Linked DNA regions of Diceros bicornis minor. The main gene of each other region encodes a partner of the protein of the gene in region 2 in a complex. Links are inferred from orthologs where the notes say so. Each region holds a gene or a part of one and is shown on either strand. Other genes may lie near its edges.

The links. Proteins that work in one complex are often made in the same cells at the same time.
Region 1: the proteins of TCN2 (region 2) and CD320 antigen-like are in contact, whole or in part, in a crystal structure (PDB 7QBF), measured with the Homo sapiens proteins. The link is inferred for Diceros bicornis minor from reciprocal best matches to the Homo sapiens genes TCN2 and CD320. Residues at the interface, in NP_000346.2 of Homo sapiens: Asp70, Leu71, His74, Lys77, Leu78, Gln81, Gln82, Glu91, Asp92, Arg120, Gly121, His122, Lys123, Asp125, Arg126, Val128, Ser129, Lys132, Trp133, Glu136, Arg140, Lys169, Arg170, His172; in NP_057663.1 of Homo sapiens: Thr57, Lys58, Leu66, Cys67, Val68, Pro69, Trp72, Asp75, Arg76, Asp77, Leu78, Asp79, Leu133, Glu136, Cys145, Ile146, Pro147, Thr149, Trp150, Asp153, Gly154, His155, Pro156, Asp157, Cys158, Pro159.

The regions. Positions count from the first base shown.
Region 1 is NW_026691615.1:374,456-381,783, reverse strand, and holds the start of CD320 antigen-like, read right to left. Parts: upstream 3,167-7,328; 5' UTR 3,162-3,166; coding exon 3,041-3,161; intron 616-3,040; coding exon 490-615; intron 104-489; coding exon 1-103. Other genes in the region: NDUFA7 (NADH dehydrogenase [ubiquinone] 1 alpha subcomplex subunit 7), read right to left, coding at 6,259-6,349. UniProt on the Homo sapiens protein: Receptor for transcobalamin saturated with cobalamin (TCbl). Plays an important role in cobalamin uptake. Plasma membrane protein that is expressed on follicular dendritic cells (FDC) and mediates interaction with germinal center B cells.
Region 2 is NC_080774.1:24,152,360-24,159,521, reverse strand, and holds the start of TCN2 (transcobalamin-2), read right to left. Parts: upstream 3,043-7,162; 5' UTR 2,954-3,042; intron 2,749-2,953; exon of another isoform or gene 2,682-2,748; 5' UTR 2,535-2,681; coding exon 2,471-2,534; intron 1-2,470. UniProt on the Homo sapiens protein: Primary vitamin B12-binding and transport protein. Delivers cobalamin to cells.

The DNA.
Region 1 (7,328 bases), on a different chromosome or scaffold from region 2:
AGGTTCTGGTCGATGCCATTGGCGCAGTCATCGATGCTGTCACAAGAGCAGGGGCTGCCAGAGGGTGGCGGGCACCCCCCATCCTGGGCACAAGGCTCCATCCCTAGGGCAGAGGGTCAGTCAGGTCCCATACGCCCACCCAAGAGGGCCAGGGTTCTCCCACCGCCCAGCCCCACGCAAGGCCCGCCTTCCACGAAGAGTAGACCCTATAAGTGCCGCCGACCATAATGGCTCCGCCCCGCTTCCGTTAGCTCCACCTTCCAAGCACAGGCCTCCCTGTAAGCCCCTCCTGCCAAGACCCCACTACTCCGCCTCCCTGTAAACCCACAGCTCCTCAAGCTTCAATCCCAGCTTCCCTCCTTGCAAGCCCCGCCCACCCCAGACCCCGCCCCAGTGGGCGCTGCCTGAAGCCACACCCATTCCGCAGCCACCCCACCTCCCTCTGGCCCCGCCCCCTGCAAGCCCCGCCCCCGGGACGCGGCCACTCACTGCACTCCTGCTCGTCGCTGCCGTCAGCGCAGTCCGCGTCACCGTCGCAGCGCCAGGCGAGGGGCACGCAGAAGCCACTGGTGCGGCACTGGAAGCTGGTGGGCGGGCACGAGCCTGCGCTGGGGCCTGCGAGACGCGCACAAGTGAGGCCGAGTCTGCACCCTCCCCCAGGAGCAATGGTCACAGGCTCCACCTCGTGGAGACAGGGCGGGTTCCAGGGACCCTTTGCTGAGGACCTACTCTGTGTGGGGCTGGAGCTGCGCGCGTCACAGCCTCACCACGAGCCCTGTGGGGCAGGTTCTACTGCGATCCACACTCTACAAAAGACACTGAGGAGAGGGAAGGCCAGAGGCTGCAGAGCCAGTGGCAGAGGCCGGGTTGCAACCCAGGTCTCGCCGATCCTCCAGCCTTTACCAGGCTCCAAATGGCCAGATGACCTCCCCAGAAGTCCCTCCAAGACCCTTCTGGGTTAAACAGAACCTGCTCTGGATCAGGCCCAGCGGCAGGGTCAGCAGGGCTGTCATATCCTTCCTGCTTAGCAAAGGGGAAACTGAGGCCCTGGGAAGAGGACCTGCTTAGTCACCAAGCCTTGTCGACTCAACTCCTAAGTTCCTCCCAGATCCGATCATTTTCCCACCCTGAACGTGCCACCTCCACCATCTCCTGTCGGACACTGGAGACCTCTCAGAGTCGCACTATTCCGTCACCCACCCGCGCCTCCCCTCTGCTCAAAACTGTCCCCTGGTCCCCGACCCTCTCACAACCAACCCTACCTCCTCTGTGTGGTCCAGCCCTGAGCCCTTCCTGGACCTCACCTCCTCCCCCACTCTTCCTCTTCATCAGGCCCTTGGCCTGACTTCCTTGCTGCTTCTCCAAGAGGCCTGGCTCGTTTCCACCTCAGGGCCTTGGCCCATGCTGCTCCCTGGCTCACACTGCCCTTTCCTCCCCCAACTCTGCACCTGCTGATTTCCTCCTCAGCCTTCAGATCTCAGCTTCTTTCCTGGGAGGGGTCTCATGCCCTTCTCTGAGACCCCTGAAGCTCTGCCTCCCGCTTATAACAATGGACCCAATGGTCCTTAAACTGGTACCCGCGTAGACTAGGCGCTCAGTGGAGGTCAGAGCAATGACCTGGTGACCACAAGCCCAGGGCCGTGCCTGACAGCAAGCGGACACAGGTCACACAAGGGTCCAGGCTGAGTCCAGATGAGATCTGAGACTTCCTGGACCCCGGAGCACAGAAGGGCCTGGAAGCTGGGCCAGCAGGCAGGAGTCTGAGGGGCAGAGGAAGGGAGTGGCCTTGAGGGTCTCCTCCTGGGTGAACCAGGGCAGGTGGCCACCATCTGGCTTGGCCCCAGCCTAGCCTCACTCCCTTCAGTCCTGGGCCTCTGGCCCCTTTCACCTTTACTCCCAGGGCCCTGAGCCTCCAAAACCCCCACTCCGCACAGCCAGCCCCTCCGCAGGGCTCCAGGCCCAACTGTACCTGCGGGCCACACAGTCCCCGAGCTCAGGGAGCCCGGAAAAGCTGTGGAAATCCGGGATCCGCCTTCCCTCCAGGCCCCCGGGGGTCTGGCCGCCGCTGGCACGGCTTCCTCTCCAGCCCTAGCCGGCTTCCTCTCCAGCCCTAGCCGCTCTCTGCACTGACAAACTTTGACCTCCCTCCCTGGCTGCTGGAGCGTGCGTCCCTCTGCAAAGCGGGCGGCAGAGCAGAGCAGACCTGGCCTCATGGGGCTGGGGGGTCGGACAGGAGTTGGAGGCACCACTGACTCCCCTGCCGGCCTCAGGTTCCTCACCTGTAAAACGGGCACCCTAGGAGGCCCCACCTCAGTGTCCTGAGGACAGAAGACTGCTTGCGTGTAAAAAGTTTGGAACTGGTTAACGTGAGTCCTGCCTCCTTGGAGGAAACAGGCACATCCGGCCCGAAAAGGCAGGGGCTTCGGGGTCAGGCAGGGACCACAGCAGACAGGAACCCACGGAGGAGCGGGGTGAGCCTGAACCCGAGCTCACAGTGCGCACCGGGAGATCCCTGTAACGCGCCCAGCTGCCTCTGGGAACCTCAGAGAGGGTCAGGGGGACTTAGGGAAAACGCGTCCGCGGCTCTGGGGTCACAGGGAGGGAGAGAGCCCTCTCGTTCTTTAAGGCCGTTCTCTAAGGCCAGAGGAGGAAGGTGCAGAGATTGGCAGCGCGGGGGGTGGTCGCCAGGAAACGCAGCCACACGGGCTGGGGCGCGCGGGTTTGGAAGGCGCGCTGCTGCGGGAGGCGCCGGGTGCCCGGCCATGCACGATCAGACGGGGCACAACCAGCGCCTGCAGCGCGCCCTCCCGCCACGCTGGGCTGAAGGGCGGCGTGGGGGCGACAACAGGGCACGACAAGCAGAGCGGCTGTGCGGGGCGAGCAGGGCGGAGCAAGGCGGGCAGAGCCACCCGGGCCGAGGGTCCCGGGTCGGGGCGGCACGCGGGGCCGTCGGGCCACGTGCGGGGGAGTGTCCGCGACTCGCCGCAGCCAATGGCCGGGCGCTGCTGGCGCGCGGGGAGGGCGCGCGGAGCTCACTCACCTGGGGCCTGGGCCGAGGGTCGGGTCGCGGCCGGGGCGGCGTCCAGGCCCAGCCCGAGGCCGAGCAGCAGCCGCAGCGCCAGGCCCAGAGCCGCTGCTCGCCGCGCCCCGCCCCCCGCCATCAGCCGCTCGGCGCACCGCCCCCATCGCGCCACCGGCCCGCTCTTATCCCCGCGCACGCGCACGCGCAGCCCGGGGGGCGGGGCCCAGGCACCAGGACCCGCGGCGTCCGCGGCCAGGGCTACCGTAAAGGGTCGAATACGAGGGGCGCAGCGATTTCACACTCACCCCGCTCTCCCCACCCACAAGGCATAGCGAAGGCTCTGGGGCCCATTTGAAGTTAGAAACTTGTGGGGATGTACACGAACTTGTGGGTGGCTTCTCACAATATTTAACTTTCCACTTGCATCCGGCAGCAAAAGTCACTGCCTAATTATCCTATTGAATATGGCGCCACTCCTCTCAGGCGTGCCCCAGCCCTCCCTCCTCCTGCGCCTTCTGTGCCCTGGACAGATTATATATTTACTAATTTTTGTTTAGTGTCTGATTCCCCACTAGAATGTCAGCTCCAGGAGGGAAGGAATGCTGTGTTCCTCGTTGTGTCTCCAAAGCCGGGAACAGTGCCTGACACATAGTAGGCTCTTTTTTTCTTTTTAAGATTTTATTTTATTTATTTTTCTCCCCCAAAGCCCTAGTAGATTGTTGTATGTCATAGCTGCACCTCATTCTAGTTGCTGTATGTGGGATGCAGCCTCAGCATGGCCGGAGAAGTGGTGCGTCGGTGGCGTCCGGGATCCGGGCCCGCGCCGCCAGCAGCGGAGCGCGCACACTTAACCGCTAAGCCACCGGGCCCGCCCAGTAGGCTCTTAAAGATTTGGTGAGTAGGGGCGGCCCGGTGCGCGCTCCGCTTCGGGCGGCCCTGGGTCCGGATCCCCGCGCGCACCGACACACCTCTTGTCTGGCCATGCTTAGGGGGCATCCCACATACAGCAACTGGAAGGATGTGCAACTATGTGCATCTATGACATACAACTATCTACTGGGGCTTTGAGGAGAAAAAGGGGAAAAAAAGGAGAAGGATTGGCATGGATGTTAGCTCAGGGCTGATCTTGCTCACACACAAAAAAAATAGATGCTGTGTGTAAATGTAAGAATCCTCCGGTTCCTGGCTTCCATCCTGGGTCCTCCATCCCTCCCACCTGGATGCGCGCGCCCTCGCTCCCTGCCTCACTTAGTCCTTCTAGACTCCTCATAGGGAGGTGGGTATCATTTTTTACTTCGGGAACAAGATATGCAAAGGCAGCCCTTGGGGTTTCTCTTCTCCCGCTCACCCAGTAGGCACATAAATTACAAACCTGCTGCAGACTTTCCAGCCAATCTGACCTCAGTGTTTTCTTCTTGGAAATAAAGAGCTTATCGACAGCTCTGCCTTCCGGAGAAGCAGCGCGTCCAACTGCCAGCAGGACCCCAGACAAGTTACCGTCCCCCAGCGTTAAGACAGGCGTGGGAGTGTTCACCAATCCCAGTTTTCCGTGATGCCACACTAAAGCGTCCAGATCTTCCCAGAAGGAGTTGCATTTACAGGTTGATGGCATGCTATTTCAAAACGCTGGAGGTTTCAGCTGCTTTTGGAGCATATATACATGTAATTGTTTAAATCAGCCTCTCTCCCTATTTCCAGGGGAAATGAGGTAAGACGCGAGGGTGCACAGATGCGGAGGAGGATGACAAGGATGGCAGACGCGACTGCCCAGGGCAGGGCAGGGGAGCAGCCGCCTTCGAGCCTCGCCATCTCGGTGAGGGAGGCATGGGGCGCGGGACAAGAGCGGGAGCAGCTGTGCCTTTGCGGGAGTGGAGCGCAGACTCATGCCCCCCCCCCCCCCCCCCCCCCGTTCGGGGCCAGCTCTCAGCGAGCCTGAGGCAGTTCTCGGTCTCTTCACGCCTCGGTTCTTCTGTCGAGGGGCTGTGACCCCAGCGATGACCTGGCAGGATTGCTCCAGGAGCCGGGATCACGCAGAGAAAGGCTTCAGAAGGTGCCTGGCACCGCGAGGAGCTCAGGCATCAGACCTCTCCCCTCCTCCACTCCCACGCCCAATTTCAAGTCTGGGTCATGCAAATTTATTGGGAAACTTGCAGTGACCCGCCTTGCCCTGGGTTTTTCAAAGCCCTCCGGGTTGCCCTCCTTGTGGCCTCTGCACACCCTGCCCCGCCTCCCTCTCCCTGCTGACCTTCTTTCTCAATGGGATTCATCCTTGGCCCCAACCAGAATCCCACATCCGCCAGGAAGCCTTCCCAGGGGCTTCAGCCCCTTGGATGAGCTTTTAGCATTTGTCTCTCCCACTCTGGGGCACTCATAACTCCTGCTGGGGACTGTGACCTTTTCCTGCCCTGCTCTAGGCTGCCACAGGGCAGGGCCGTCTCACCAGGCTCCGGGCACACGGCTGATCCTCCTCACCTACTGAGGGTTGCAGGTTCTTCCCAGGGGCACTCTCCCACTTGAAGTCACTGCGTGGCTCCTGCAGCCAGCCTTGGGCTACTTCCTGTTCAGCTTTTGCTCCCCTCATTCCCCCACAGGGACCAGGGGCCTCACCGCCCCCAGGCCCAAGCACAGAGGTCTCTGGCTCAGGGAGCCTTTCCTGACCTGCCCTAGGTGAGCCTTCCCTGGGCGCCGCCTCGCTGTCCTGCCTTCCCCGCTGAGCTGCGGGGGTCCAGGATCGGGGCGGGCTGGGGGGTCGCGGTGGGAGGGCACTGGCCCATGTCCACACAAGTGATGGCCTGGGGAGCTCTTGAGATCCAGAGGCCAAGTGAGCAGTTTGTGTTTGGCCCGCGTCCTTCACAGTCGGTGCTCACAAACACCCAGGGGTCCTGGAGCCACCCCACCACTCTCGGGGACAGAGCCAGGCCCTCGGAGAAGGACCAGTGACATGTCTGGGCCCCCCCGCACCATGTCACCTGACTCTGTGCCCAGTGGCAGCATGGCACCCTGGACCCCCAGAACACTACCCCTCCCCCGCCCCTAGAGCGCTGCTGGAGTCAGAAGATTCTCACCCACTTCACCCCAAAGTCCAAGCAAGCGGGTGTCGCTTCAAAAGGAACAACGGAAGCCATACTGCAGCTCCATATAATCGGCATAAATTAGGTCAGTCTCCCCAAAGGGAATCCAAGGAGGGGAAGCACCCCGGTGGCACTGAGGGCCCGGCCAGGTGTCCCAGGGCACAGTCACAGGTAAGGCTGGTCACGGGAGAGCTCCCACCTCTTGATGGGAGGAGCCGGCGTCACCGCCTTCTTCTCAGTGGCTGCCGCAGCCGGGCTGGAGGAGAAAAGCAGACTGTGGTTAGGGCCAGGTTTCCAAAGAACAGGGTGGAAGGATCTGAGGGACACACCTGCCCCTGAGGGGTACTCGCCTGCTGAGACTGTGGAGCCGGAGGCCAGAGCGTGGGGTGTTTCAGAACGCCAGACCCCTCCAATGGGGTCCCCCGGAGGGTCAGCCCACTTGCTGGGAGCTGGCCAGCCCCGTCTGCCCTGAGCCCCGTGAACCCCCAGTCGGCCTGGCTCTTGGGCCCAGAAGCAGCCGTGACTAGCCCTGTCCCCTCCAGTACTCCTTCCCACATGCGGCCCCAGGGTGCACCAGCACCCCGCTCCTGCTGCCCCAGGACAGGACAGGGGCAAGGGCCGGGCCCTCAGGCGACGGCCCCCGCTGCTCATCCTTCCCTCGGTGCCCAGCACCTCTCCCCGGCAGGCGCTGTATGTGGGCACAGCGCAGCCAGACCAGCCCCCTCAGTCTCACGGGGCTGAGGGTCGGTGTGCAATTGAAAACACATCATTTGGCCCAGAGGTGGCCTGGGGTGAGCCCCAAGGAGACACCGTGCCAGCAAATCCGAGGCAAGCAGCCCCCCACCTGAGCCCCTGGGGCCTAGGGCTGGAGGGGCTTGCACACGGTGAGCAAGAAAGGAGAGGAGGCAGAAAGAGGGGGGCTCTCCTTGTGGAGGAGGCCCCCCGTGCCTCCTACTCTCCCGGAGCGTGAAGCAGATGCAAGGGGCAGAAGGCAGCAGACATCCGGGGGCAGTGAGGGGTGTGGGGGAGCAGGGCAGCTTGCCCCAGTCCGGTGCTGGACTCTGGTGGATCTGAAGACCACCACAGTTCAGAGCTCTAACTGCACAGCAGGCCCCGCCTGGCCTCACCACCTTATAGATCTCCTCACAGTGCAAGCCCACCGCCCCCATTTTACAGATGAAGAAACTGAGGCTCAAGGCGGCTGAAGGACTGGCCCAGGACCATATGGTGAATCG
Region 2 (7,162 bases):
GCCCACTGGCTAACTGGGACTGCCTAGTGAACTTCCTCTGTGCAGATCTCAAAATAACACTTTTCTGGCCACCTCTGTGTAGGTGGAGAGGACTTGAGATGGTAAGGTGTATTGTTAGCAAGCCATCATCATTTGCAACCATTTTTCTGTGTGCTTTGGGATTTACCTGAAATTGTGTAACCAAAATACAGAAATACCTAGGAAGTAGAAGCTTCAGGGATGTTTCCCAGCTCCAGCTGACTGGCGCCTGCCTCCCTTAGGGAAGGGACCTGAACTGTGTGGGTGGCCTTGGAGGTACTTTGGACTTTTCCCTATTTACTGCCTCCCAGCTGCTGCAGGGATCCAGCTGCCTGCACTGTGTACTGTCCCAGGATGCTGGGCAGGCCGCCCCTTTCAGAGGACGAGCAAAGAGAAACCACGCGCAGAGTGTTTCACGCATCTTGGGCTGCGGGGCAAGAGGACCAGGGTTCCGCCCACAGAGCCCCCTCTCTCCCTGTTTGGATCCCACCATCTTATGCCTGTTTCCCAAAAGTCACAGGTATCTGTTGCTGTGCGAGATGAGGGTGGAGGAGAGTTACTTTTCTTTCCCTTTCTCTCTCTCAACTCCTTTCTGTGTCTCTGCTTCCATTTCTATAGGGATTTCCCTCTTTCTCTGGATCTGTCTTAGTCTCTACATCTTTCAGCCCGTCTCTCTGGGCACCTGTCCCTCTGCACCTCTCTTTCCTCTCTCTCTTTTCTTCAAAGTGGTGAGGGAGCCCTGCCCCCACCCTGGGCTCTGACCTCCAGCCAGTGAGTCAGCCCTGAGATTAGAAGTGATAAGAAGAGAAGCTCCATCTGTAAAGAGAGGCTGAGAACCACAATGCAGCCTCCTTAGAAGGAAGGAGCCAGGCAGATTCACTCAGGATAATAAAAGTGGCCCTGGGTGAGGTCTCTCCCCAGTGGGGCCCTGCTCACAGGACCGCCCAGCTCTGCCAATGGAGGATTGACTGGCATTGACATTTGGAAGTGCAGGAGCCCGCCCTGCACCAGCACCAGTCCAGCATCTCTGTTAATGTCACAGCCACACGGAGCTTTAAGCTCACAGAGCGGGTGCCATGGGATGCTTGCATCACACCGAGGAGAAAGGCAAGGGAGCATTTTCAGCCCATTATACAGGTGAGGGAATGAGGCTCAGAGGGCCTAAGTGGCTCAGCAGCAGCAGGCTGCACTCCCAAAAAGTCCAGGGCTCTTGTGGGGTCAGTCCTATGAGCCAACTGTTGAAAGGTTCATGCCCAGCAAGGGTAAGGACCGGATCCCAGGTCTCCCCTGGGGACTCTCTGGACCAGAACCAAGGGCCCAGGGCTCAGAAGTCTGGTTGCACTTGTGGAACCCAGGCCGGAGGCTTCTGGTGCCCAGGGGAGACCCTGGCCTGGAGTGCTGAGAACTGAGTCTGGCAAAGCCCTGGAAAGCTGGAGCACCTTGGGCAGGTCACCTGGGCCCTCTGACCTTTGACTTCTTCATGTGTCACCTGGACATGACTGTCCCTGCCTCTCGGTTTCTCCAAGGATCAAGAGATATCCTGGTGGCGAAAGCAGAGCCTAATGCTGTGGGCAGAGTTTGAGGAGGGAAGAAGAGCTGTGGGCGGCCCTGGGAGGATTCCCTTCCTGCCTTCTGCTTTCCGCCAGGCTCCGGTGCACAAGTAGCCCCAAACCTGTGTGCTCAGACTCATAGACAAGTCCCAAGAGGCGCCCGGGGGCCTGGGCCTGGGACACAGAGCCAGGCAGCCAGTCCCCTGTGCTTGGAATACACGTAGCACAAATGCCTTGCCAGGACCCGCCCGCCCCTCTCAGGATCCCCTCCCACCAGGGTCTCCACACACTCACCTCCCTCTGCCTTCGATACCTCTCCCCCATGCCCTTCCTTGTCAGCTCCTTTCCTCCTTTGGGTCTCAGTTCCCACGTTGCCCCCTAGTCCTTGGAAATCTCTCCCGACCTCTCTCCCCGAATCAGTGGCCGCCTGGCTCTCTCTCTCTGCACCTGGCTGGCTTCCTTTGGCACACACCACAGACCCAAACAGCCCCAATATGCCTCTTAACTTCTTTGATCTGTCCCCTTCACTAGAATGGAGCTCTAGGAGGGCAGGGGCTGGACCTGTCTCGCTCTTTGTTCTTTCCCCAAAGCCTAACACAGCACCTGGCACAGAGAAGCCTTAATCAATGTGTGTTGGATGAATAAACGTACAAATGACTGAATTAATGGAGGAAATCGTGTCTGGTGGGGAGTCAGACATATAATTAATCTTGATACAATGTGCTAAACGCTGAAGTCCAGCCATGCCCAAACTGCTGTGGGAGCCCAGAGAGGCAGATCCGTCGCACCCCCCACACATCTGAGCCTGTTTCCGCAGGTAAACAGTCAGAGGCTTGGACAAGATGGCCCTCCCTCCTAAGGACCCAGGAGGAAAGAGAAACAGGGCAGATCAAGTTACTCACCGCAGATCTCAGCGAGAGCCCCCGGGCTCCCCAGCAGGAAGAGCAGGACCATGAGTCGCCCCATGGCAGGAGCAGGTGGGTGAGCAGCAGGCAGGAAATGGGACAGGCTCCTGGGGCTGGGCTTGCAGAGGGTCTCCTGACCACAGTCCGTCACTACTCCGAAAGAGGCACCTTCCTGTCACTGATTAATCTCTGCACGCCTGGCACGCTGCTAAGTCAGCAGAGAAAAAGGGGAAGGAAGTCCAAAGAACAGAGGAAGGAAGAGCAGAGCAGGCTTCCTGGAGGTAGGGGGCAGGGGGAGAGGAGGGCAGGTAGGGATGGTGTGAGACATCTGAGGCCGGCCACATGCTGTTCCCACTGCCTAAAGAGCCCTGGACCAGCGCAGAAGGCCTGCCATCTGATCTGTCCAAGTCTGTCTGATTGCGCCTGTCTGGTATCCCCCCAGCTGTTCCAGTGGTGGATGGGCAGTGCGGGGGTGCCTACCTGGTGCCTCTCACAGAAGGAACCCCTCGAAGTGCCCACCCTGGCGTGGGACAGGGAGCAGAACGGGGAGCTCCTATTGTCACGTGAGCGAGACTGCTGTTGTCAGCTGTTCTCTGCCTGCCCGCCCAGGGAGGCGGGGCAGCTGGACCCAGAACAGACAGGCCAGTTTTCTCAATCATCTGGAAAGCTGAGGGCCTCCTGGAGACAAAACAAAACATATTAAGGAACGAGATTTAATCATTTGAGACACAAAGCCACCTGTAGCAAGGCTACTTGTCAGGACTAGGAAAGTGACCTAAAAAACCTCTGCAAGGAGGAGAGAGAACAAAGGATTCCTCATCTGCCCAGCCCCACAAGGAAATCAGGGTACAAGAGTTAACTCTGGGGCGCTGTGTGACCTTTACCAGGTTGCTTAACCTCTCTGAGTTTGAAATAGGTTCTCATGTGTGAGGTGAGAGAGTTGGATAAGATCATTCTAGCTAAGCTCCCTTCCAGCTCAACTCGTGCAAATGTTATTACCTTAAAACGCCTCTAGTCATTTCCAAATAAGATTTTTATTGAAATCATTTTCTGGCAAATTGCCAAGTTTCGTTCTTTCAAGATAATTTGTTTTTGCGCCTGACTTATCACAAGTCAAGCTCTTGACATAGATAAATACAGAGGTGTGCATCTGCTTACAGAATTTAAAATTAGATTGTCCAGTGCAGGAAGGCTGGGTGTGGCCCATCAGGGTGAGGTTCCGGGGAAGGAAGGAGGCTAGCTGGAAGCCCAACTTCTGCAGATTCTCAGGTTCGAATCTCCAAGGGCAATTTGTGTGCAATGGAGCCACCTTGGTCAGAGACAGGACTGCCCCAGCCCCCCAACCCTCTGCCTGTGGTAGGTGGTGGTGATTCTGGTTCCTGTCACTTCCAGGAGGGCAGACTGGAGGAGGCGGCCATGGTGGAGGGACTCCCCATAGCCTGGCCTCTGGTGAGAAGCAGTTTCTTTCAGGATAGTCACCTCTGATACCTGAGGACTCGAGGGTACCACAGTGAGGGAAACAGATAGCCCCCTGCCTGCTGGCTTGGACTCACCGTCCCAACAGGGAAGACGTGCATTTCCCAAAGCTATTAGAAATAGAGTGGCTGATTGGGGGTGGAGCTGGGCTGTTTTAGGTAATGCAGTTGTAGGGGAGGAAGACAATTCCTCTACCCACTCTAGGTCCTTGTGGCTGGCCTAAGAATTAAATTGACATGAGGCAGTGTGGGAGATCAAAATTGGCCACCTCGGGGCCGGCCCGGTGGCACAGCGGTTAAGTGCACGCGCTCCACTGTGGCGGCCCGGGGTTCGCAGGTTTGGATCCTGGGCGCACACCGACACACCACTTGTTAAGCCATGCTGTGGCGGTGTCCCATATAACGTAGAGGAAGATGGGCACGGATGTTAGCCCAGGGCCAATCTTCCTCAAGAAAAAAGGGGAAGATTGGCATCGGATGTTAGCTCAGGGCTAGTCCTCACAAAAAAGAAAAAAAAAATTGGCCACCTCAAAATATGTCTTTTTACCTTGATTATTTTCTCTGAAAAAAACTTTGACCTTCTCCCAAACTTATGCCTAAAAGCAACAGACTGGGAGGGTTTTTGCTAAGCCCAGTCTTATCAAAATTCTCTTTACCAAACGTTTATATTTGTAAGGGAAATCTCCATGTGTAAAGGTATCTCCCTCTCTGTACTGGGAAGTGGGGGGATGACCTCATCTCTAGAAACTTATCAATGAGGAAGGTGAGGCTGCATAATAACCTTACTGTGCTTTTCTGGTAATTGCCCATAACTGACTCCCCCACCCCCAACATCCTTCTTTGTCTTTACTTAAATCTATTTAAGAAGAGAACCTCCACCATTTTGTTGAGAAACTCGATTTCCCTGGTTTCTCCCATGTGTACATGTTATTAAACTTTGTTTGATTTTCTCCTGCTAGTCGGTCTCATGTCAATTTAATTTGTAGCCCAGCCAGAAAGGCCCCAGAGTGGGTAAAGGATAGTCTTCCTCCCCTTCAACAGAATAACAGGAGAAAATCAAAAAAAGCTTTATAACATGTATACATGGGAGAGACCCAGGAAAACTGAGCACCTCTCCAGAATGGCTGAGGTCACCACCTTAAATATCATTTTTAGCTAAAGACAGAGGAGGGTGTTGGGGGTAGTGGTTTGGGGCTTCAAGGGGGAGGAAGAGAATTTACATGGAGATGGAAATGCAAACGGGCCAACTATAGACAATGTGACCTGAGAGACACATTTTACATTACATTACAGTTATCTTATGGTATTAGCTCCTTCCTGGAACAGGCCCTTCTATTTTAAATACTTTTAGGCAATTGGGGGTGGAGGGGGTTCAAAGTTTCTTTCAAAGTCTTTTGTTCTTAAAAATAATCAAGCCAAAGAAACACATTTTGGGGTGGCCAATTCTGATCCCCCACACAGTCAAGGAAAGTAAAAAAGAAAGATGACTAAAGCTTTTGGTTTGAGATTTCTACTTGGGAGACTTTAGCTGAGAAAGTAAAAATTAGCTTGCGATGAGTAAGTAGAAGTCTGCCTGTCCATGCATCAGGACAGGCAAGGATAAAGCGAGCCACAAGGTTAACAGGAAATACTATTTCTCCCAAGGTCATGTTGCAGCTGTAAAGTGTCCTAATAGCCATGTTCTTTGAGGGACTATTACTTTTTTACTGAGATTTCTTTTTTTCCCCCTAAAATCACAAACTAGCAGAAATTTGCTGTTTGAAATTATTCTAGTAAGAATGAAACATTCCTGGGAGGTGCTAAGTCACCGTGAAACCAGCAAACAGTTAGCCATTGATGATTAGGGAGCTAAGAACTAGAGTTTTTTTCCTTTTTGCAATTACTGATTGTAGCTTTTACTTGTTCCCCCACCCCTTGTTAACTGTGCTGTTTAGGCAATATGCTGTCTGACTCCCACTAGGTTCCTATAGATAACATCTCCTTGAAGCCTGGGTCACCATGGTAATGGATGTTTGAGCTGTTTTCAGGAATTAGAACCCCTTGTCCACTTCAGGCCAGTTGAGACCACCAACACATACTGGGACCATGCAGATGTCTGATAAGTGATCTTTCAACGTCAAGAGGCTAAAAATTCCACCCTCGGGTCATGCCAACATCGCCATTTTGCGAACATGCGTCCTACGAAGAGGCATGAAGTCTGACTAAGCTTGTGCAGATCATCAGTTACCTCACCTCTCCTCACCTCCAATCATCTATCTCCACATTTCAGACCCCCTTGCCCCCGACCCCATAAATAACTCTGAGTCCCTATTTTCAAGGAGGCAGATTTGAAACTTGTTCTCCCGTTTTCTTCACTTGGCTGCCTTGTGATTAAACCCTCTCTCTCTGCAATCTCGTTGTCTCGGTGTTTGTCTTTCTGGGTGATGGGCAAAAACAAACTGGTTTGGTAACAAACTTGTCACAGAGAAGCAGCCTCAGATAAGGAGTTTCTGGACTCAACATTCCAGGCCTATCTTAACTTTGTAGTTTCCAAAGGAACAGGACTCTGGTGGGTCCACTGTGCTTTGCTGTTGATAAATAAATGGCAAGCAATAGGATATATTGGAGTATATGAGGAAGCCTTTTGGTGTAAAACTAATTCGGCCAGACCTTGTTTTTCCAAAAGGGCCAGACGTGGTCTTTGAACATGCATTGTATATCTGCTTTAAGCATTTACTATGTCAAAAAGACAAGAACAAATGCCGTTAAGATAAAGTAACTTCCCTCACATCAGCATTTCCTTAAGGATAAGCATCTCTCTCTCTAGGCTAGGGATTGATTGCTGACCTGCTGTGACCATTCAGCTGGAGACCACAGACCTGCTACCTGCTGTGTTCATCAATTGCTGTGTGAATCGCTGTGCCAGTTAGGCAGGCTAGGCAATCTCATGACTGTTGTAAAAGGGACATTCCAATCATATGTGATACATGCTCTTTGATGGTATATAACCACTCTGTACACCCCACTTCTTTGGTGCCCTTCCTTCCTTGGGGAAGGAAGGCCCCAGGCTATACGGTCCTCAAATTTAGCTCATAATAAACTCACCTCAATTTTGATTTATAGATGGGTTATGGATTATTTATGTCAACACTGTTCAGGCCTGAAGTTGACCCTTCTCATGCAGCTCTGTGTTGCGTTAAGCCTATCAAAACACTGTTTGGTGGGGGGGGCCAGC